Linked DNA regions of Diceros bicornis minor. The protein of the gene in region 2 purifies or fractionates together with the protein of the main gene of each other region. This does not show direct contact. Links are inferred from orthologs where the notes say so. Each region holds a gene or a part of one and is shown on either strand. Other genes may lie near its edges.

The links. The genes of interacting proteins can lie anywhere in the genome.
Region 1: the proteins of SMARCA5 (region 2) and MYO1C purify together in Homo sapiens (affinity purification with western blotting; 3 studies listed by BioGRID, with this or other methods). This does not show direct contact. The link is inferred for Diceros bicornis minor from reciprocal best matches to the Homo sapiens genes SMARCA5 and MYO1C.
Region 3: the proteins of SMARCA5 (region 2) and BAZ1A purify together in Homo sapiens (affinity purification with western blotting; 8 studies listed by BioGRID and IntAct, with this or other methods). This does not show direct contact. The link is inferred for Diceros bicornis minor from reciprocal best matches to the Homo sapiens genes SMARCA5 and BAZ1A.

The regions. Positions count from the first base shown.
Region 1 is NC_080757.1:16,228,426-16,236,438, forward strand, and holds the start of MYO1C (unconventional myosin-Ic), read left to right. Parts: upstream 1-4,942; 5' UTR 4,943-5,120; coding exon 5,121-5,195; intron 5,196-5,980; exon of another isoform or gene 5,981-6,069; intron 6,070-8,013. Other genes in the region: INPP5K (inositol polyphosphate 5-phosphatase K), read left to right, coding at 650-787, 1,051-1,134, 1,303-1,407, 1,595-1,654.
Region 2 is NC_080750.1:33,315,209-33,322,684, reverse strand, and holds the start of SMARCA5 (SWI/SNF-related matrix-associated actin-dependent regulator of chromatin subfamily A member 5), read right to left. Parts: upstream 3,016-7,476; 5' UTR 2,624-3,015; coding exon 2,447-2,623; intron 1-2,446. UniProt on the Homo sapiens protein: ATPase that possesses intrinsic ATP-dependent nucleosome-remodeling activity.
Region 3 is NC_080744.1:14,467,179-14,475,237, reverse strand, and holds the start of BAZ1A (bromodomain adjacent to zinc finger domain protein 1A), read right to left. Parts: upstream 3,072-8,059; 5' UTR 2,931-3,071; coding exon 2,818-2,930; intron 1-2,817. UniProt on the Homo sapiens protein: Regulatory subunit of the ATP-dependent ACF-1 and ACF-5 ISWI chromatin remodeling complexes, which form ordered nucleosome arrays on chromatin and slide edge- and center-positioned histone octamers away from their original location on the DNA template to facilitate access to DNA during DNA-templated processes such as DNA replication, transcription, and repair.

The DNA of each region.
Region 1 (8,013 bases), on a different chromosome or scaffold from region 2:
TCCATTATGCTTATTACCTACTAAGTGAAGCAGGACTTCCTTTTATTTGTCCTAAATGTATCTGGATCGGGTTGCAAAGGAAGCTCCCTCCATCCTTGTATCTGGCCATCGAATGACCAAGGCAGTGTTGACCTTCCAGCTGCCGGTTACCCTCAGCCATCACCTTTTCATGCTGGTTTGTATGTCTTTCCACCATTGTGTCCTTCCACATCCCTATAGCTGTTCTCATCAGAGCCACACCCCCACCCCACCGTGCAAAATTGGTTTTGGGCCTTTGGGTCAGGAGCCCTGGAGGCCTGAGAGCAGCTACCTGGCTTCTTTCTTAAACCTGTGAGCAACTCCCTCATTCTTCTCCACCTTCACCCCTCAGCACTTAGCTTTCTGCTTGGTTACCCACTTGGCTCTCAGCCCCATCTCTGTGGCAGGACCAGCCACCCCTGACAAGCCTCGGGCCCATTCTCTTTCCAGCTGGCCTACCAAGGTCCGATACTTTCTCAGAACAGCCTAGTGGAGTTCTGTGCCCACCCCGCTGGGTGCCCCTCCTCCCCCCACTGACCCTGACCTATTGGAAGGGTACAGTAAAGACATTCACCTCAGAGAAGGGAATGATGCTATGGAATTTCAACCCCCTTCCCACCCCTGTGTATAGCTGAAGCCATTGGTATCTGCACCACTGATCACCCTGATGCCCGAGGGCTTGTGGACCATGGAGAAGGACGCGTTGATCAGCTACTCCTTGACCCCAGGCTTCCTCAGCAGCCCCTGGGACTGGATTGGACTGTATAAGGTGATGTGGCAGGCGAGGCAGGGAGTCCCTGAGCCACACCCCTCTGATTGATCCATCCTGAGGGCTCACGGGAACTGGGCACAGAGACTGAACTCACCCTTGTCCACCCCAGGGGTCCTTGCCCACCTAGAGGCTGGCAGTGAAGGAGAGAGAGGCATCCAATATGATGGCCAGCCCTAGGAATGAGACGACCCTCTCCTTCAGATTTGCCGTAGGTCCCACGTCCTCCATGACCACTGACCCCCCGACCCTCCCTCCCACAGGTGGGACTGCGCCACATTAATGACTACGTGTCCTATGTCTGGGTCGGGGACAACCAGATCTCCTTCAGCGTCGGGCTGAACCAGGTACCTGCCTCCCTTCCTGAGATAGGTATTCCACATTTCCAGCAGGTGGGCTTGCCCGAGCACTCCTGTCTTCTGGAAGGAATAGAGAGCTGGATAACTTGTCATTGAGAGCTGGGTGGGGCCCAGGACCATGGAGCTGACCCCATTCCTGTCCATCCCCCGCTCCAGGTATACATGGACATCAGCGATATCCCAGAGACTGAGGATCAGTTTCTCCTCTGTTACTATAGCAACAGTCTACATTCTGTGGTGGGGATAAGCAAACCCTTCAAGGTAGGAGATGCTGGTGGGGTCAGGGGAAGGGTATCACAGATGATGTGAGCCCATCATCAGTTCACCGAGGCCACAGGCCTAGGAGCCAGCCCACATGGTGGAGCCGCATCAGTTGGGGAATGGAGTGATGACACGGAGGAGAGCCTGCTCTTCTCCCTTCCGCTCACCACCTGCTTTATTCCTGCAGATCTGGCCTCGCTCGCTCTTTGGGGAGGATCTACTGGATGAAGCCCAACCACAGTTCTGAGCTGGGACGAGTGAATCCAGGGCGGAGGCCAGAGCTGGCAGCCAGCTCTGCCTACCACTGCCAGGAGCATTGGGGACCCAGCCCAGCCCTCTGAAGAGGGAGCAAGTATCCTCCACCTCCCAGGGGGAGCTCTAGCACACTCCTTTGCTCTCTCCAATCTAGATCTCTAGAATCAGCCTCTTAAATACAGGTTTTTGGTACTGAGATGTGAGTGAAACCAGCTAGTTTGTCAACAGTGAAGACTTGTGGACAGTCCACCAGATGTGGGAAAGACCCTCCAGCCTGCATCTCATTTTTTGATTTTCCCCCCACACACTTCTAGTCCTGCCCAAGCAGGCCTGCCAGGCACATGCCCCATCTGGCACAGGCCTGCATTCTTGTCACGCCATCCTGGGCCTCAGGCTGCCTGGGAGGGGGAGATACATTTGTACAGGCTCCATAGACTGGTTAGCACAAGCAGCACTGGGTTCCAGGAGTCTTGGCATTTTGTTGCCTGTCCCCCTGAGGGATGGGCAGAGGGTCTGGGATCCTTGCTTTCAGCAGAAGCAGTATGACTAAGTGGGCAGGATGAGGGGTCCCTCCACCCAGGCTCTTTGGTAGGGTTGTGGACAGGTTGATGAGCGTCCTTCTGCCAGCACCCCCTCGCCCCCATGGAGTATGAACCAGAAAGTTCCAGGGCCTGAACAGAGAATTGGACCCAGGTTCACTTCTGCTGGTGGGTCAGGCTCCATGCCCCCAACCTGCCCTCTTGTGAAGGGTTGGCCAGGTGGTAGAGGAGCTGTGGCCACAGGCTTTTCCAAGATAGTCCTTGCCCAGCTGAGCTCATCTGCCTGTACCCTTGCCTGCAGTCATTGGCCAGAAACCTATCTAGACTGCTCTGGGACCTAGAGGTGGGGGCAGGCAGAGAGGAGAGCCAGAATCAAGACATTTTGGAGAATCTGGCACTGGGGGTCTTCAGAGAGCATTCTCCAGGTGCTGCGTGGACAAGGTCTGTCCCCACTCCCACCACTTGCCTCCAGCCACTGGTGACTCAACAGCCCTTCTCGCAGGAGAAGACACCTCAGGGAGCCCGCTCTGTGACTGTCATGCCCATCCTATGATCTGAGACAGGGCCACTCCAGTTGCTGTACGTTCCATACTCCACCCTGGGAGCTGTGGGTACCATCTAGAACTGTCCCCTTGGCTTTAGAGGGCCGTGGCTGTCTGTGTTCTGTGTCTGTTGCATTGGGGCATAATTAGAAACATGGCTTTTACACTTGTTTGTGACTCCTTCATGATGGTGGTGGGAGGGGGCACATGGTGATGGGCCGTTGCTAGACTCTAGGACGAGGGCCCTGTAGATCCAGACTAGACTTTCTGTGTCTGCGAGTGACAGATGTTGCCTGGGTAGGAATGAGATGAGGTTCTGGGATGGTGGCCCTCTGGGTCCCTGGCCCAGTTGGGGCATGCTACCTATGCTGTTGGGCACTTAGTTTATTCCATTGCTAAATAGAATGGGTTTCTTGGAACTCAGAAAAGGTGCTTACTCTGCTCTCACTGGTCCATCCCTCCTTACCTGTCACTCTCTCACACCTTAGTCTTGACCACTGGTCCTGGGTTAAGCTATCCAAAAATGTCACCATCTTTTCTCTCTGTGCCGCCTCTCCCCAGATCCCCATACCCCGAGGTTCCCATTGTAATCTCTCTCCCTGTCCCCAACACACACACACCTGAGGAACCCTGAGCCCTCGCACTTGCCCACCTCATTCCTTCTCACGTGCACAACCATTTGTTTGGCAGATGGGGAAACCAAATCTCAGAGAAGTGGCATGAGCCCTCTGGAGTTACACAGGCAGCTGTGGTGTTACGCAGGACCAGAAACAGGACTGGGGTCAAGACCTAGGTTTGAATCAGTTCCATCTCTATCCACATAGGAGTCTCAGTTGTCTGTAAAGTACAAATAATGAACCTATTCACAAGATTATTGTGAGAGAACAATTGCAAAAAACACAGAGCAATCCTATACCTACCTCCTCATTCTGATTAATGTAGCCCTGGGCCTGGGTCTCAGGGCTTCTGACTCCAGGGCTCCCCCGTTTCTCCTGCTGTGGAGCATTTTTGTCCTCCACGTGCCCACCTCTCCCCTGCCCCCTTAAGTCTTCACAGACCCCTACCCCGCCTCCTGTTGCAGGGCGCTCCTTGCCTGGGAGGGGTGAGTGCAGCAGTGATTGAGAGGCGGAAGGGGAAGGGGGAGTGCTCTCCCTCCTCTCGGCCCCAGTCAGGATATGGCCGCTCTGGGCCCAGCCATGACCCGCTGGGTGGAAACAGGAAATATGTGAGACTCCGTGTGTGCTGGGTCTCTGCGCCTGGCTCCGAGGCTGATAAGGGCCATTGTGTGGCTGCCGGGGATGAGCCTGCCTTGGATAGATGTGCTTCCCGGAGGAAGGAAGGAAGCTTTGCTGGCCTTTCCTGGGCGGGGGAAGCTGTGGGGAGGAAAGGGAAGGGTGCCTGGGGGAAGATGCCTGCCCGAGGGGCTGTCAAGACCAGCAGAGGCCCACTGGCCTCTGCCCCTCCTATGCCAGTGTCTCCCTCTGGAAAGGTTGCTTTCCCTCATCCACTTCCCCCTTCTCACTTCCTATAAGGAATGGCTGGAGACTAGAGGGCTCAGTCCCAGGCCAGGAAAGTGTCAGCTGTGATTTAGCAACAATAAAGACAGAAAAACAGGAACATGCTGGTTAGGGGGCACATGAGGGTACTATGGAAAAGCAAGAAGCGAACAGAGCTAAGGCTGCCCACAGCCAAGGAACCCAGGGACCAACCTCCCAAGCGCTTGAGGCTCCAGAGGAGGGTGGGACAGGGGCTTCCTCAGAGTGTCCCCTGCCTCTCCAGCTAAACCCCTCTGCCCAACATGGCCATCCCCCACCAGCCCTAGCCTCTCAAACTCAAGGGGCTCACTTGCTGCTGTGGGAGGCAGGCAAGCTGGGGAGCATGCAGGAGGGGCAGTGCCTATTGATGGATCCTCTTGGCTTAGGGCAGGATGTGCGTTCTGGTTTGGGGAGTGGTCACTGTGCTCTCCAGCTTTCACCAGTGAGTGGGCAGCGAGAGAGGCCAGCCATGGAGCTGCTGGGGGGAAAAGCCTCCTACCCTTTGACCTGGAGCCCAGGGTCCCCCACGGTGGCTGCACTGCATCAGCTCCTCTGGTTACCTGGGACAACAGGCATTTCCTCCATCCCTCAGCCCCTCCTCTTCCTGCCCCAACCCACTGGGCCAAGAGGCCTCCCAATCAGACCTGGGCTGCTCCAGCTGTGTCCTGAGGAGCTGGACCAGACACATCCCCTGGGGCTGGAGTTGAAGCTGAACCAAGTGGCCATCCCGGCGTGAGACCAGATTCCTGGCTCCGGGAGCAGCCAGAGCCAGTGGGCAAGCAGGCAGGCAAGCTTTTGCTCAGAGGCCCCAGTGCTCTGCACGCTGGCTATCCACAGGCAGAATGGCGCTGCAAGTGGAGCTGATACCCACCGGGGAGATCATCCGCGTGGTTCATCCCCACAGACCCTGCAAGCTTGTAAGCTGGGATGCTCTGGGCTGGGAGGAAGGGTGGCAGTGTCTCCCCAGGGCCCAGTAGCCCCTCTTAAGCAAACCCCTCAGGAAAGTGGTGAGCAGTGGGGAGGGGTTCTGATCCTTGGTGGGACCGGAACAGATTGGACAAGAAGGGGTGAGGGTTTAAGCACCACTAGGGGCAGGGTTTTTCGAAGCAGGAATCTGAGTTTGAACCCCTTCTCCTCTGGTTCCCTGATCCTCAGGGGGCTATGAACTGGTGACAGGGCTGCTCTGAGATCAAAGGATCTATGCGCTCCAGGCGCATAGTACAGGCTCAGTTAATGTCTCGCCTTTCTCCGTCTGGCCCAAAGAACTGGGACTGGCCAACTCAGAGCAGTAGCGGGGTGGGGGTAGGGGGGAGTGAAGGGAGGTAGTCACAAAGGGACAAGAACTGACCCGGCCTGGCACGCAGGGGAGGGTCGGGTTTGCTCTGGGGATGCAAAGGGGCCCTAGAATGAGGAGGGAGAGAAAGCCATCAGATGCACCCACCCACCCAACACTGCAGCGAGTGGGCCGGGTCTTTGGCTGGAAGGGGGGTGCGCGCGCGTGTGTGTGTGACAGTGACGCGCCTCGTCCCAGGAGCTGGTTGCGGAGTGTGCGGCACCAAGTCTCCGCGGACGCGGGCCGGGGCCAGGGCCAGGGCCGCCAGGGCCGGGCGGGGCCGGAGGGAGCGCGCGCGCGCGCGCGCGCCGAGGCCTGGGCCCTGCCCGGGATGACGACAGGCAGCGGCCCGGCCCCGGGCGGGCCTTGGGCGGGGAGAGCGTGCCAGGGCCGAGCACTGGGGAGCCGGCCACGCCGCCCAGCCTGGCCCCCGCCCACGCACGCGAAGAACCGAGACGGTGGGTACACGGGGCCCGGGCGCCGGGCGGCCAGCAGCCGCGTGGCCCGTAGAGGCCTCCGCTGGCGGGTGGGATGGGGGCAACGGGCAGGCGGCCAGGCGCCGAGCTACCGTGCGGGAGGCGGGGGTCGCTGGGGCCGAGGGTCGGCTCGGCCCGGGCCGTACGTGGTCCCAGGACCCGCTGGCGCCGGAACTAGGCCGGGTAGAGACTTAGATTACTTGCGGGTAACGTGAGGGCGGGAAGGAGCAGCTGGGGTCCCGGGACCCAGGCACCCTGCGCGCCCTTTGGGCCCCTCCACCAGCCAGGCTCTGCCTCTGGGTTCCGCACAAGCTGCCCGAGCCCCGCCCCTTCCCCTTCTCCGCCCCCCGGACCCAGCCGCGCCAGTGGCTTCTGCGCGCCTCGGCGTGAGTGTGGTAGATGGGGGCCTCCGAGATGAATGAGAGAATGAATGGCTGGCCCAGGGCCTTATGCAACTCCCAGCGCGCTCCGGCCTCCTGCTCACACTCCCGGGCTCTGTGATTCATTCATTTATGCAGGCGTCTACGAGGGGTTATTGAGCCCCGACTGTGTGCCGGACTGGGTGTACGCTCCGGGCGGGAGCAGGCTACTGGGAGAGACCCACAAGAAAACCGGCGATTAGAGCGCAAAGCGATAAGGAGGGGGCTGTGTGTTGGGGATAGTCGGAAGGGGTTCTGGAGGAGGTGATACCTGAGCTGAGTCTTCAAGGATGACTAAGAGTCAGTCAGGTGGGGAGGAGGGAGGGTGCGCTGGGCCAAGGAAGTTGCAGGTGCAAAGGCAAGAAGCTTAGAGAGCCACATGTGGCTGGTGGCAGGGGTGGGAGCAGCTTCTCCTGGCTCTGTGTGGTGGTGAGGGAGGCATGGGGAGAGAAGGGACTGGAGAGGGCCACCCCTATGGTCACACAAGAATGCAGGAGCAGGGGGGTAAACTGAGGACAGAGGGGGCTGCTGGAGTCTATACTCAGGGGCCTGGCAAGAAGCAGTGGGTGTGAAGTACAGGCTCGGCACATGGGCTTGGCACATGGACCGGTGCCCTATAAACCTTCACTCTATTAACATGAGATGTTAATTGATTGATTTGCATTTGTAAATACCACAGGCTGCTGTGGGGAAATGGATTGGAGGAGGAAGGCAGGGAGGCCAGTTTGGAGGCTGCTGCCCGGTCAGGAGTGGAGCAGTGATGGAGGAGCAGGGGGTGGGGGGTTTGGCGAGTGTTGACTCTTGGTGTGAGGAGTGGAGGGACAGGACAGGCCTTTTGAGGTCAGGTGGTGATGACTAGCTGGAGGTGCCTCCCTTCTCTCTACCTACAGGATATTAAACAAGAAGGATAGGGGGCAAGGTGCTCTGTTTACTTCTGCTGGACCCCCAGGCAGAAGTGTCTAGCAGGCCAAAGGCCCATGGCTCCGAAGCTAGAGTGTACAGCCCCTGACTGGGGTCCTGTGAGCAATTAGGTAGAGCCCCTAAGGCCCCACTTTTCCTCCCCATTGCCCCTCACAACGGTTCCCTTGAGTCTAGAACAGTCCTTGGTGGGGCAGCCTGGGCCCAGACCTAAGATATATTCGACAAAGATAAATTGAGGACCTGTTCTGCACCCAGCACTGCGCTGCAGGTGAGAGAGGCTAGGGTTCTTTCCACTGCCCCAACAGGTCATGAGGCTGCCTCTGTGGAAATCAGCTTATAGCAGCGATCTGGGGGTCTTCAGAATACCCTCTCAAGGCCTGGGTGGCCCTGGGCTGGGGGAACATTTGAGGCTGCCCATTGCCCTCCCCTCTCCTCCAGAGGTCAGGCTTGGGTGCACCTGGCCCACACTAGGTAAAGGGCTCTGGATGACCCAGGTCTCCTGGGCCTGCCCCATCCCTGCCTTTGCTGGAAACATCTCCCTATGTGGGAGGAGACCCAGAGGCAGCCTTGGGAACTTAAGTCCTGG
Region 2 (7,476 bases):
CCTTCCATAGTTGGGGGGAAAAAAAAAGATTTGGATTCCAAGACTCCTGAGGTCATATGATTATTGGCATACAGAGTGCCTATCTATCAGTCTAGTCAATAGTGAGAGCTGAGAAGAACAAAGACAGGCTCCATCCACACTGCCAAAAGATGATAATAAACAAAAAATGAGATTGTTTCCTTGATCTATCAGTACCAAGCAAAAAGGAAAAACTAACTGAATACATAGGAAAGGTAGCTAATATTTCTGGGAAGGTCAGCTTTGTCAGAAAAAAATCATAAATGAAAGATTTCATTTATTTTCTGATTTGGGGAAAACCCACCTTAAATTCTACTTTCAAAAAGAAAATGGCATTTTAAAATATGTTTTTCAACTGTGAACAGATTGCCAGATATATCATGCATGTATACTCAAACCTAGTTTTTACCATTGATTTTACTCAATGACTTCTGAATTCAGTTGAGGGAAAAAAGCAGACAAGTGACATTTATTTTAAAAGACCAAAAAAAAAAATCACACTATAATGTGAAAAGAAAAAAATCACAACTAAAATTAGTCAGTGAAAAAGAGATTGATAAAAGATAAAATTACTGTAACGCCTATTCTGACAAGGTAAAAGTAAGTCATTCTTTAATAAATGACATTGTCAAATATCTCCTTTGTAAGAACATGATAAGGCAAGATATGTGGGAAAAGGGTCAGTTTCAGAGCAAACATGGGTTCTATCACAGGTTCTACTTATCAGAAGACTCAGTTTCCTCATCTGGCAAATACTAAAAATACCACTGACTTCATTTGGTACTTATTATCACATCAATAGTAATACTTAAACTCTAATTCCACTTTAATTTAAAGATAGCAACTGAAAGCCAAAATAGTTTAGGCTTTAAATTACTCTGCTTTCTGACATTTAAATAACATCTCTAGTGAGACATCGATTATTATTCTAAAATTTAAATGACAGACTCTTTTGAGAGGCTAATGAAAACTCTGGATACCACTTTGTAAACAATTGTGCATTTAAACACAACTGCTTTCAGCGTCACAGATTTTCAAACCCCCTTAAGCCATGGAGTAGGACCAGGTTAAAAAGCCCTGATAATCCAAAAGAACTATTTAAAACCTTGAGTAAAAGAAACAGGCAACACTAGATAGGAAATGGAAACCAATCTCAAATCACTGAAAACTACAGAATATCAGATGTCCTACTTCACTAAAACCTACCCTCATCGCTAAAAGTTCTTTGAAAAACTAACAAAATAATGTTACTTTACCCTGGATTAGACCTTTGGTGCCCAAATAAAAATACTGAACCAAGTATTTCAATGGTAACCTGCGCTTCCATTTCCTTATTGTGTTAATTCTGCATCAAGATTCATTTTTAGAGCAGTATTACCTCCATTCCGTCTATCTAAGGATGGAAAAATCCCAAAAAGCCTTGGGCTGCGACTATAAAATATCTCAAAACAGATCGAAGGCCAAGAATGAAATTTGGAAGGAGCAAGCAATCACTTTGTTCCCAGACATCGCAAAGCCTTGGAGCACACCCAAGAGACCCGCCTGGCCGCTCCCCAATCTTTCCACCCCCGCATACTGTCACCATTCCCCGGCCAACCCTAGCCAAAAGGCAGGGTCGGCAGCGAGCGGGACCAATTTTCAAAAAAAAGGCCAAGGCCCAAAAAGAGGAATTGCGCCGCACTGAAAGCCAACTAACCGCCCTTGGCTCACTAATTCATTCATCCACCCATCCATTCCCTCCCCCTAAATGAGAGGGGGGTCCAAAACAGCTGCTGCTGCCTTGGTCGCTTCCCTCCCTAAGGAACAGTGCCTGGGAGGGGCCTCCTCTCCCTTCACAGGAGCAGCTGCGCCCCGCTTATCCCCACTGCGCACTCGGCCATCCAGCTCTCGCCATTGTTTCTGCCCAGAACAGATACCGCCCCCGCAGGGACCGGGACGAAGAAAAGCAGGCCCAAGTCCTCGGATGCGCTGCTTTTAAATGCCTTCCCCACCCCGCCCGTCTATCCCTCACTCCTAAGGGGCAGCTCCCTCGCCCTTCCCCCAAGTTTAGTGGAAACTAAAACCTAGATTCAGAGACGAGAGAGAGAATTACAGGAGTCTAGAGGAAAAAAATTAAAAAACCCGGGTAAGTCCCTCTTGGCCTCGGTAATCAAGAACATCTGTTTAATAAGAGAGTTCAAGGATTTGGCAAGATTCGCTCCAGAGACAATGTAAAATGGGAAGTGCAGAAATCCATTTCAGCCTCGTTGGGTAGGTTAAACACAAGGGCGCAAGGGTGAGAGCATCATTTCGGATCCAAAGAGTTTGAGGCCGAGTTTGGGTGCAGAGAGGCTACGCACAGCTCTGCGTCCGATCACTAAAATCCAGGCGAGGGAACCAGCTCCTCCTCACCACGGCGCCCTCTCCCCAGGCCACAAGCCGCCCTCACCTCCATCTCGGAGTCCGCGGGGCCGGCGCTGGCCGCACAGGAAGCCACCTGGGCCGCGATGCCCTCGGGGCCGCCTTTGTTGCTGGTGTTGCTCCCGCTGCTGGCGGCCGAGGCTGCGGGCTTGGAACGCGCGCTCTCGGGAGGCGGGGGTGGCGGAGGCTCGGCCGCGGACGACATGATGTTCCTTCTGCGTCACCCGATGCTGCCAGAGGCCGGGCCGGCAGGGAGGAGGAGGAGGCCTAGGCCTGGCCGGCTACGTCGCAATGAGCGGACAGAGGAACGAGAGGACCACCCGAACGCCCCCCGCGCCGCGGCTCCGCGCCGAGCCTGAGCCGGGCCCAGCAGCCTCCTCCTCTCGTCGTCCTCCTCTTCCGCGGGGCTCGGGGTTCGACCGGCGCTTACCTCACGGCGGGAATCACGTCGACGAGAGTGGGCGGGGCCACCCGGGTCACTGAGGTCAGGGAAGGCGGGCTGAATTACAGGAGGGCGGAGGGTTGGAGGAAGAGGAAGGGAAAGCGAAAGAGAGACCGAGGCGAGGAACTAGTTTCGCCCCCTCCGCTTCTTCCTCGTAGATAGCATCTATCTCGCCAGCATCCCAGACAACTACCTACGCCACCGACTTTCAACCCTCGCGAGATTGATAGTTGGCTAATTGACTGAGTACCGAGTGCGCATGCGCATTCTCCTCTCCTCACCCTAGCCACGCCCCCTTCAGGGCCCCCAGCGGGCTCTAGGGCGAGGAGTGGGCGGGGCCTCGAGGAAGAGCTCGGAGACGCAAGTCTGTGCGTCGGCTCCCTGGCGTGACGCGAGCCCAGTCTTACATGCGTTGATAACGGCTGGCTGTCCTCGGCGGCCGTGTGTTCTTGGCTTGGCTGGTTCGGCGGACTCGTGGAAAACTTGCCCAGGTTTTGCGACGCTTACTGAAACGGAGGCCTGTGGTGGCCTTAGCACTTCGATCGCCTCGGCTTATAGGCGTGACGCCACAGCGTTGACGATATTATAGTTATCCCAAGTGACGTCTCACGTTTGTGTTGTCTAAAGAAAAGGGCCCATTAGGGTGATTTTGTTTTGTTTTGTTTTTATCAGTCATTTCTAAATTTCTTCTACTTCCCTTAGGTACAGAAACAATAGTTCCTCTGAATTTACGTGGTAAAAGTAAGCAAATTATGTTCACTCTACCATATGAGAAATCAATAGATAAGGAAGAGTGGCGGTGAGTTGTAATTTATCCTCGATCACCAAATATTAAATAAAAATGCACATCCTTCTCCTTGTTAAAGGTAATCACCACTAATTATTTTGTACACTGCCTTAGGTTATCTTCAACGTAGCCTAAGGGTCTTGTGCATCCATCTACCACAGAATTTAAGCACGTTGTATCTGTCAACTTTAAAATAAAATTGCCAATTATTTTACCAGCAAAATGAGTTTATTTGGGAATAGCAAAGGAATTGCAATTTGGACATGTGCACCATAGGCAAGGCTGAAGAACAAAGGAAGGGAGCTTGCTGTTATACAGAAAAAGGAGTGTTGGGACAGTTCTAAATGAAAGTTCCTTAAATGAAAGTTCCTTGGAGGAGAGTAAAAGTTCAGAGTAGCAGAGCTCCTCATTGGCCGAGCTGCAGTGTTTTCCATCGGTGGGGCTTGTTGCTGGGCAAGAAGAAAATCTTTCCTCCTCCTAGAGAAGTAAGGTAGTAGGCAACTTTCTGTTGGAGATGTAAGGTAGTCTCTTCCTGTTTGGGGTAATTGAGGAAGAGTAGTAGGGCACTGGTGCTCTCTCTACAGGCCTTCCCAACTCCAACTTTAGTTGAGGTTTCTTTTGCTAATGTTCATATATTCTATTTAATGACAAATCTGCATACTACACTAAATTTTTGTCTGCCCTGTACAGGCGCTTATTTATCTTTGTATCTCCATGTCCAGTATTCTATCAGTGTTTATTGAATAAAGCAGGCACATTTTTCAAGAGTTAACGGTTTGAGCTAACTGGTTGATTATGTTGAATTTCAAACAGAAGAGATCTCCTTTGAATATATAGCCTGCAAACTTTTACCTAATAGAATGATAATTCTTTAATTGAGATCTGGAAAAATAATCCCCCAACCCGTTAGAAATGCTAAGGATATGTGAAAAGAAAAATACCTACAATGATGTTCATCATAGTCTTTGCTAGTAATTGCAAAAAACTAGCAATAGGCTAAGTCCAATATTGAAAAGTATGATTCTAGAACTATTGTATACCCACAAAATGAACTATTATTAACCTTTAACAACCATTAATGTAGAAGAACATTTATTCTGAAAAAAACTTTAACTGAATGTTAAAGTTTCAGTTAAAAAAATGTTTAACTGAAAAACGTTTTAACAGTTCAAAAATATAGATAAAAGTTTGGAAGGATAATAAAGTTCTGAAAGTGTTGTTGCTGTATATTTCCTAATTCTTTTTTGCTTGTCTGTGTGTTTTTATATTACTAAAATAAATCTGTATATTATTATATTGAGAAGACTTATTTTTAATATTAAAAATGTTTTCTCACCAAAAAAAATTGTGTGGAAGGATAAAAATGGTAGTATCTAGGGTGGGACCTGATGTATAGACAGTCAATAAATACTTATTGAATAAATATTTATTTAATATTGACATTGTTAAGTAGAAAGAACATAACATTTATTTGGTATTCAGACTATTTCTTCACTCCATAGTGATACATAAATATCTTGGGTCCTGGTTTGGAAACCCTAAAAATATACTTAAGTATATAAATGGAAGGGTCTTAATTCTGACAACTATTTAAGGAAAGCAATAAATAGCAAGAAAAGCAATAAATTAAATTATCTCCAAAATGGCAATTGTACTTTAACATGTGCATTTATACTGTGAGTTTCTCATGTGAGCATGGGAAAGCTGTATTAGAATCTTGCTGGGGAAAATTGTAGAGGAAAGATAATTAGAAAAAAGGACAAAGAGGAGACAGAATGTTTGAATCCACGAATCTAACGTCAGGGACAAAGAAACAGATTTTGAGCAGAGTCTAGGAGCAGTGAGGAAGAGGAGAGGGGAGCTACAGAAAAGATAGGATGCCTGGAAACTGAGCTATAGGGACATTAGCTGAGTTAGTCAGACAGACAGTAGTCTTTATATGGTGGCCAAATCACGAAGGCTCATTTCTCTTAAAGACTAATAGGCTAAAACTAATAGCTACTTCTGGAATTGATAGTATAATATAGGATTAGTGTAGTGGCAAGAGAGTAGGCTGGGGAGTCAGTCAAGCCTAGATTCCAGTGCAGGCTCAAGAACTTAGTAACTGTGTGAATGTAGGCAAGTTATCTAACTTCTTTGAAATCAATTTTCTCATCTTTTTATTATTATATTATCCTAACTTTATATTGGGGTAATCTTATAATGATGTCATAAGAATTAAATGAGATGGTGCATGGAGGGTGTTTAATACAGTGCCTGAAATATAATGAGCCCTGTGTTCAAGTGTTGGGTATTCCAATCCTGAAGAATCGTAAGACTAAGGGTCAGAGTCTAGTTGGAGGAAGAGTAAGCTAATGGTTTTTTAATAAGTAGGAGGATAAAGGAAATAGTGTCAAGGAAACTCTAAAAGAAATTACTGCTTTAACCACGTTCCCAGAAATAAAATGCTACAATATAAAACCACGTTAGTGTTCTATCTCAAATATGCAAATAGGTATTTATGCCTGAAATTCCCTCTGTTAGATTTAGCGTGCTAGAACAGCATGTGCTGTGCTGAATAGAGTGGAACAAAGAGATGTTGCCAAAGGACAAAAGATGTCACAGAGCCAGGACTCTCTCAGCATTTTCACCTTGAATGGTAACAAAAAGGACTTAAGTTTATCAAGGAAAAAGTAGGAATGCTGAGCCTCTCTTCATCACATACTCATTTTATTTTGTGAAAGCCTAGGAGAATAAAATCTGGTTACTACATAACAACAATAAAACAGTATTGAGATTGTGAGTATCTAAGAATGGGAATTTCCAACACTAAATACCAATGATCACATCTTGTCTGTATCTTGCTCAGAATTCTCCTACATAGGTCATTTGCCATGTAAGGGGATTCCAATTAAACCAAAACATTAACTATGCTCTTAATAAAAAAGATAAGTAAGGTTTAAACACATTTCACTTCCTTGAAAAATATAAGCTAAAGTAACTCAGACAATATGAAATAGATAACTTGAATAACGCTATAACTATTTAGGAAATTAAATCATAACCAAAAAACTCCCCAAAAGAAATCTCTAGCCCCAGATGGTTTCAATGGAGAATTCTGTCAAATATTTCCACACAATTCTACACCAATTCTACATAATCTCCTCCAGAAAATAGAAGAGAGTACACGTGCCAATTCATTTTATGAAGCTGCTATAACCTTGATACTAAACCGAACAATGCCACTATAAAAAAAGAAAAAGGCAGACAAATATCACTGATGAATATAGACGCAAAAATCCTTAACAAAACTATTAGCAAATACGGTTATGCAATATGTAAAAATAATTGTGTACCCTGACCAAATAAGAGATTCCAGAGATGCAAGACTGGTTCAATGTTTGAAAATCAATCAGTGTTATCTGCCATATTAACAGATTACAGAAGAAAACTCACATGACTATATCAATCGACGCAGAAAAAGCATTTGACAAAATTTTAACACCCATTCAGGATAAAAACTCTCAGAAAAAAAAAAAAGAGGGAGACTTCCTTCACTTAGTAAAGAGCACCTACAATACCTGCAGATAGCGTTATGCTTGATGGAACTGAATGCTTTTCCTCTAAGATCAGAAACAGGCAAGGATTCTGCTCACACCACTGAGATTCAATACAGTGCTGGAAAGGAAAAACAGAACTGTCCCTATTTGCAGATGACGTGATTACCTACACAGAGAACGCCAAGAAATCTACAAAAACATCCGAAGGCCTAATAAGTGAGTTCTGCAAAGTTTCAGGATACAAGATAAACATTCGAAAAATCAACTATTTCTGTAAACTAGCAATGAAC
Region 3 (8,059 bases), on a different chromosome or scaffold from region 2:
TTCTTATGGAAAGCAGGTCAAACAAGTGTTAGCAATTAAAGAGCATGTAGTTCAAACATACAAAATAAAGGAGCCTGCACTATATAATCATTAAGGATCCATCCTGGTCACAGTCTCTGTCTCAAAGAACTCAGGGTCTAGGAAAAGAGAAAATGTGAGGCAATAAATACACTGCATTACAGTGCAATAACAGCAGATGTTCCACTAGATAAAATGGAGGGGGGGATCACTGCTGTCTAAAAAGACGAAGGAGGAAGTGTTAGGCTATAATACCAAGTAAGATAAAGACAGAAAACTATTTAGCAATTAAAAGGTCACTGGCAACCTCTACCAACCAGAGTTAGAGGCAAAAGTTACTTTGCACTGTGCTGGGAAGTGAACAAGGCGGGGAGGTGTAGAAAATCTCTTTGAGACTGATTAGAGAAAGGTCTATTTACAAAATCAAAAACCTGAGCAAATAGGTGGGCATAGTGGTCTTCAGACACATACAAAAGAAGAATATTCGAAGTAATGCACTCAAAAGATAATCTTCAAACAAATTCATATAAACCAATTGGTGATTTAGTGAATGAGTGAAAACAGAAGTTTCCTTCATAGTTTCTCCAGAATTGTGCTGAGGGTCAGATTACCATAATACTGCAGAGACCACCATATACCATCCACCATGAATGCACTTTTGGAAAGATCTCTTTGTAATCATCTAAGAGAAAGAAAAAATAATCTCAAACTTAACACACAATTAAATGTCAGTCTTCTTCCAATTTTGCCAATTCAAAGTCATAGAGATTAAGACCTAAGGACACTAGGAGCTCTGCTTTGTTCAGGGTAAGTGATTAAATATCTTTGCTCCCAAACCAATTGCCTATCCTGAACTGTTTCTAATTTCCAAAAGCCCAAACACTTCAGTACAGAGAAAACAACAAAAAACTAGTTATTTTTAAAGAATTTTTAATATCATAAGACTACAAACGACACAGTTCCCTAATATTAATAGAAGGTAGTAGGTTTGGAATACCAAAAATCTCTTCCTTTGTTTCGGCATTTCAGATTTCTCCACGATTACAGTAAATCATCAAGAACCAAGTATATGAAATGTTTAATTCAAAAAAGATAACAGCCATAGTCATTCTCTCCTCTACAGTGAGAATAGCCTCTTAAAAAGATAAGGTTGCTTATATCAAAGGAGAAAACACTTTGAAACTTAAGCATGTTTCCTCCTTTGTTGGCACTCGAAATACAATTTTTTAAAAATCAGAGTTATTACGAAGGATTTTAACTTAAATTAAAAAAAAAAAAGACATCATCCTTGTCAAGTTACCTAATCCAAATTCACTTAAGCAGTTACAAGAGTGAACCCTACTTGAGTAACAAAACAAGTCTGTACAGGAGCAGAGTAAGATGTGCACTCCTATTTAAAAGCACTGTCTGCTGAAAAACTTCTCTAAATATAACATGTTTATGTGTAACTCTTTCTGTGGAGCTGGAAAAAAAGGCTTCCTTAAAATAAAAGCTCAAAGGAACTGGCTTTTCTAACTTCGCTAGTCATTTCTCAGACAGGTGCAGAGTTCGCCTAAAGCCCTCCCTCCATCAAGCCCCCATTCAAAAAGGTGCCTTCCAAACACAATTTATTTGGTTGCTATAACACTTGGTTTCTAAGCCACAAAGGGATTCCTTCTAAGTGGAGAGGATAAAGCATAAGAAAAAGGGAGGATCAGGCTGTTTCAGTGATTGATCAATTCAGGTTCTCACTTGGAGATCCTGTTTAAACACAGATCTCTGAAACACCCCGTTGTTTGGTGTCACAGGACAAGGAGATCTCTTGGGATAAACCAGGCAAGGGACTGAAAATTTAGGGGTTGAAACTACACACGCAGCAGCTCCGGATTCTTATCAAAACAATAGCGAGTGGCACATGTCAGGCGGCCCACATGCGCAGGGGGATAAAGAGGAGACTGGCGGAGGCTGGAGTTGAACTTGTCTTAACCCCCTCCCCCAACTCCCACCGCCGCGCTCCGGGCTCGCGAAAGTGAAAACGAGGGGCGCCCGGGGCCCTGCTCTCCGCCCCCCCTTCCCCCGCCCAGCCCCGACTTCTTCCTCACCCGGTCTCCCGGGGGCGGAGACGCTGAGTTCTCCGGGGCCGGGAGTTAGTCACCAAGAAGAGGCGGTGACAGAGCGCACGGCTCGCGTCGCACACTCGCGGCCTAGCCGCACCGGACGGGAGGCCGCCGGCGGAGGCTCTCGTGCCCCGGGCCCCACCGCCCCCGCCCGCAGGCAGCTCCCTCCCGCCCTCCCCGAGTCTCACCTCCGCTCCCGCCCGCCCCGACCCTAGGCAGCTCCCACGTCAGGCTCCACTCCACCGAAGGAGCGACGCCCAGCCCGGCCGTTTCCTGCCCCCGGGGGCGGGGATTCCCTCCCCGGGCCGGGGGACGGCGGCCCCGAGCCGCTGACCCGAGCGGGGATCCCCTCGGCCGCCGGGCGGGGATCCCGGAACTGGCCCCGAAGCGCGCGTGTGGCCGCGGCGGGGAGGGGCGAGGCGGGGAGTTTCCGCCGCCCGGGCGGCCGCCGCGGCGAGAGGCGGTCCCCACGGCCGGCCGGGGACCCCAGCCTTCCCCGCCCCGGCCGCTCTCCCCGCGCGCCGCCCCGGGACCCCGCGCAGCCACCGCGTCGGACTCCGGGGACGGAGAGGCGCGGGCCCGCGGCCACCCGTCACTTTCAAGTCGCCCCGCCAGAAGCCCGGGGCGAGGACCGGAGAGAGACAAAAGGCCGCTGGGGAGGGATCCCCCACACCCTCGCACCCCCGCGCCGCCCGGCCCTTACTCGTAGTGGCGGAAGATCTCGTTGGTGACTTTACAGTAGAAAACTTCCTCGTCGGGCCGCAGGTCGGCGGGCGGCTGCTGTCTCACAAACGGCTTTCGGTGGAGCAGCGGCATCTCCCGGCCGCCCGCGGGCTCTCCCGGACCCCGGCCGCGTCGGCGCCGCTCCCCTATCAGAAGTGGAGGGAAAGGACAGCCGGTAAGGTGGGGAGCGCTCGGCGGCGCCGGCCGGTCCGCGCGCCGGGGAAGCTCCACTGCCTTTTGTGTGACAGACGCGCCGCGGCTGCCACCGGGGCCGAGGTGGCCCCCGTCGCTGCCGGGGTACTGAGCGAGCGGAGCCGCCGCCGCCTCCGCACGCCCGGCCGCCGGCTCACAATGGGGCCGAACGCCCCGCCGCGAGCGGGCGGTGCGGGAGCGCGGCGGCCCCCTCCCCCCGCGCCGGCTCCCTGCCCGCCGCCGCCGCCGCCGCCGCCGGGCTCACAACGTGCTCGGCGCGCAGCCGGCCCGCCCGACGCCGCGAGGGAGCCGGCTGCCGGCGGCCCCCGGCGCCGCTCCGCTTTGTTCCCCCGCTCGCCTCCACTTCCCCGCCGGCGCTGGCCGGCGCCCGAGCGGCCACACGGAGCCCTTCACCTGCGAGCACGCCGACGGCCACCTCTTCACCTTCCCAGCCACAAAGGCAGCGAGGGGAGGCTCTGTCCTCCCGGGGGGTCGCCGCTCGCCGGCCCCGCCGCGTCGCCCGCCGCCGCGCCGCCCGCTGCCACGGCCTGGCTCCGCGCGGGGGATCGCGTCCCACCGCCGCTTCCCCGCCTCTCGGAGCTCCTGGGAAGTTTCTGATCTACTTTCGGCTCAGAAGGAGGAAGAGCTGTTGGGAGGAGCTTTTCACTTCTCGCTTCTACCTTTTTATTGGCTACTCGATGACTTTTACAGCCTGTCACTGATACAGGAAGAGACGGCGGAGAGCCTGGGAGAGCTACATTATTAATTAATGGAGCAACCCCTTGTGAAGAATCAGAAGCATCCTCCATGTTTGAGATTATCAGCCAAAAGATCTAGGGAAAGCGCTGGGGTTTCGTAAACACAAGTCGAACAAAGTAAAGCCGTCCTCTTCAAGTCTGGCACCATCGCTAGGTTGGTTACACGATGGGAAAAGGAGTCCGATTAAAATTTAACTGTATTTTAAAGATGGGAGGAGGAATAAGAAATAAAAAGTATTTTGATATTTTCTTCTTCCAAATTTGAATTCTCGTGTCTAAAAATATATTTCGCTTGTGTAAACATCCATTTTGAAAAGAAAATACCTTTCTTGACAGCAGTTCTCTTTAATACTTAGAGCAATTCGGTTAAAAACTCAGCAGAGGAAGAGACCAAAAAAGTATATATTAGAAAATGTCATCATGCCTGTAGGACCCTCACATATTTAAAAAACACGCCTTTAACAAGTAATATTTAGAATACACCGCTGAAAATATTTTGCAAAGGATCAATATTTAATTCAATCACTCAGAATTTTAAAGATTATGGATTTACAAGTGAAATTTCCCCTAAAGAAACTTTCCCATATCTATAATTTCCATTTATGAAACTAATTTTAATGTACATAATACATGTGACTTTTGAATTAAAAAGAATTTTCAAAACTACGAATAACTCCAAATGTTTGCCAGCTTTTTAAAAAGGATCTTTTTTGTTACTGCCCTTGACATTTACTTGTTTGCAGATTAACGTGTAAGAATGAATCTCAAAGTAAGGTTGAAGAACAGTCATTCAACAAAGAACATAACTAATTACCAATACTGTGATAGAAACAATGTGGGATCATCTTTACATCTTCAAATACTCCAAAGTATGTATGTACATTGGAGCAGAAAATGTAAGGAATCCAAATCTCAAGAGTTATCATTTTTTAACTTCTTTCAAGATACTTTTAGGGTGGCTTGCAAAAATACAATTTTGTGAAAGGCACTATATGCTTTGAGTTTTAAAAATCATTCATAAAATTAATACACCTCACTGTATGAATATAGAAGTCACAGAGGCTTCGAGATGCCCTCAGTAGCAAGTATATTCTTTAGCCTGGATAAACTCTTCAAAAAATGATGCATTCAAAGATTTGGTGTTTTACACTGGCCTCCAACTAGTACACCAAATGACAATTTAGAATTCCCTACCTAGAAAGTATGTAATTTTCCAGGTGAAAAATTTAGACCCCACGAAGGCAAATTCAGAAAGGGGGACAAGGAGGATGGATAATTTTCAACTGACATTGAAGCATCACTCTCACGATTCAAAATGCTGACTTAACTGTTAAGCTAAAAACAGATGAGATTTCTCTGAATATATAGCATTTATATTTCTTAACTCTCACTGTTTGATAAGCTGTTAAAATAATTTTGTTAAAATCACGATCAAAAATAGTAATGTTAATTTTACTTTTATTAAATACAAAATTTTAAACAATTGGATCCTTTTTTATACTAACTTAAAATTGAAATTTTATTCTGCTTCATCAAAACACTATCATACTCAATTTCCCTACTACCATACTCAAATTTTGCTATCATAACTCAGTTCTCTGAGTTACATACATAGGATTTATTTTAATGATTTGTGATATTTAATAAAAGTTATACATAGTTGTTCATTGTTAATTCAGAATAACGTTAAGTTTAGTAAATTATAGTTGACATATTAAAAAGTTTAGTTTTGATGTGTTTATAATACTTGATCAAATTGATAGCATGCCTAAGCTACCTCAAAATAACACTTCTCTTAAAGTTATCCTACATATTTACTACAAAAAGCTTACCTAATGTATTATTCCATATTTTCGTATCATGATTACTTTCTTGCTTTATTACTACTTCTAGATATTTGAGAGTGAAAAGTTCATTGCTGTATTCAGAAAGTATTTAAAGGAAATGTCATGAAATAGAACTTTGTGTAAAAAAAACTGGCTATATTGTAAAGGAAACTATGGAAGTTAAAGTATCACAGGAAAAAAATAGAGAAAACAATGAAATTGAAATCATTGAATTTTTTAACAATTTAATTCAATTAAACATTTATCAGGCTCCTTTTATGTGCCAAGACACTGTAGTAGCTCATGTAAGGGATACAATGTAAATGTATCCTGGACTCAAAAAATGTACCATCTTGTAGAGAAGAGATGACATCAAGACAGATCACCAATACAAGAATTGTGTGAGTCCTAATGATCATGAGTAACATAATGCAAAAAGAGAAATAGAAAAGATTAGAAGAAAATGTAGAAGGGGGACTCAGGATCAGACCTAAATGAAGTCAGCCACGGGGCATGATTTGAAGGGCAACAGAAAGCTCATGTTCCCATATATCCTTGCCAGTCTCAAGATGCAACCCCCACCCTCCATTAGTCACCCCTCTGGGTGAAGATACCAATGGCCCCCACTTAAATGTAAAATGTAAATAAACCAGTTAGGCAGGACATATATTAATCTAATATCATCAAGACATAGTTTAATATTTAAGAAGGTATACTGCCTTCGATAGGTAAAGACAAAACAAGACTATGAATATGTATTTTAAAAGCTTGAGCTAGAATACTTTTCCTGTCTTCTATTGACTGATTAAGAAAGGCTTTACTTAGGTGGTTTGGTGAGGCAGTAATTACTTAGAGCTGAAGGAAACCTTTGGGAACTCAATTCTCTCATTTGCAGCTAAGGAAACTGAAGCTCAGGAACTGGAATCTTGGCCTCCTGACTCCTTGTCCAGTCTCTTCAGACCACACTGCTCTTTCCTGGGATTCGATAACATCTAATTTTCTTATATAACCTACTTACACTGTATCCATAAATAAGCCAAAATACCATTCCAAATCCTTCCTAAACTGTTAAAATGCATAAGGGGATAAGATATATTACTCATGATCAGAAATAATAGTTATTTTTGAGAATTATCCAGGAAAGCGATGGGGGTAATAAGAATCTTAAATTTGTCTAATTGAACAGCTGACGAGTCCTGTCTCCGTGCTTCAGTTAATACATCTAACAAATATAAACACTTCATGTCCCTTACCTCTAAGTAGCAGTTGTAAAAGTGTTTAGAGTATAGCTACCCTGAACTCTTCTGAGAAAGTCTTCTAAATATATACAAGGAACATCAACTTTATAACTCCTTTCCTCAATATCTCTGACACCTGTCTCAACTCTTCTATGTTCTGTTTTTAAAGTCTTCCTGATGAATTCATGGCATTTTACCTATAAAAAATTTCTATATATTGTTCTTTAGAAGCAATGAATATGTTTCCCTTCATAGCTGAAACCACTGGCCTAGTGTTGGGATAGTGGTTCTAGACCTTAGCTGCCCATTGAAATCACCAGAGGGGTTTTTGAAAAGTACTGATGCCTGGGCCATACCCTAGACCAATTAAAACAATCGCTGGGGACCCAGGAACTTGGAGTTTAAAAATCTGCTCAGGTGATACTAATGTACTGTGAAGTTTGAGAACTACTATGCTTAGAGGAGATTGGATGCTTAATGCTGAAGTGGTAATGTTAGCAAATTTGGAATGCATTTTTTTATTCAACCCGTTGTGATTAAAGTCATGAATTATGTGATGGTAGTAGGAGTTGAAAGAATAGTCTATGGCCATCATTATTATCACAGTAATAGTTTACACTTAATGAATGCTTCCAGCTTGTCAAGCATTGTGCTAACGGCTTTAAATGAATCATCTCATGCAATTCTCACAACAAAGTACTATTTATCATTTCCATTTTACAGATGAAGCTGTTGAGGCGCAGAGAGGTTAATTAAGTAGCATGCCCAAGGTCATACAGCCCAGAGGCAGAAAAGCCCAAATTATTGACTCCAGTGTCCAACTCCTTACTACTAGTCTATATTTCCATGGGACTGATTTGCTAATCTAACTCTGACATAAATTGAAACAAGGAACTCGATCGTATGCACTATACCATTTAGAACTTGTAATAATTAAGAATGTTTGTAAATCATAAAAGCACTAGAGGAAACCAGGAAGAATTTAAAAAATTATCTCAGAGTGAGGAAAGCTTAAGTATAACACAAAGCCCGGAACCCATAGAGATAATTCTATAAAATAAAAATTAAAAATTTCTCCATGACAAAAGCTACAAGCCAAGTTGGAAGACAAATATCAAACTGGGAAAAAATTATTTGCAACTCACTGTGAAAGGGCTAATTTCCCTAATATATAAATAATGTCCTATTTCCCTATTATTTAAATAATA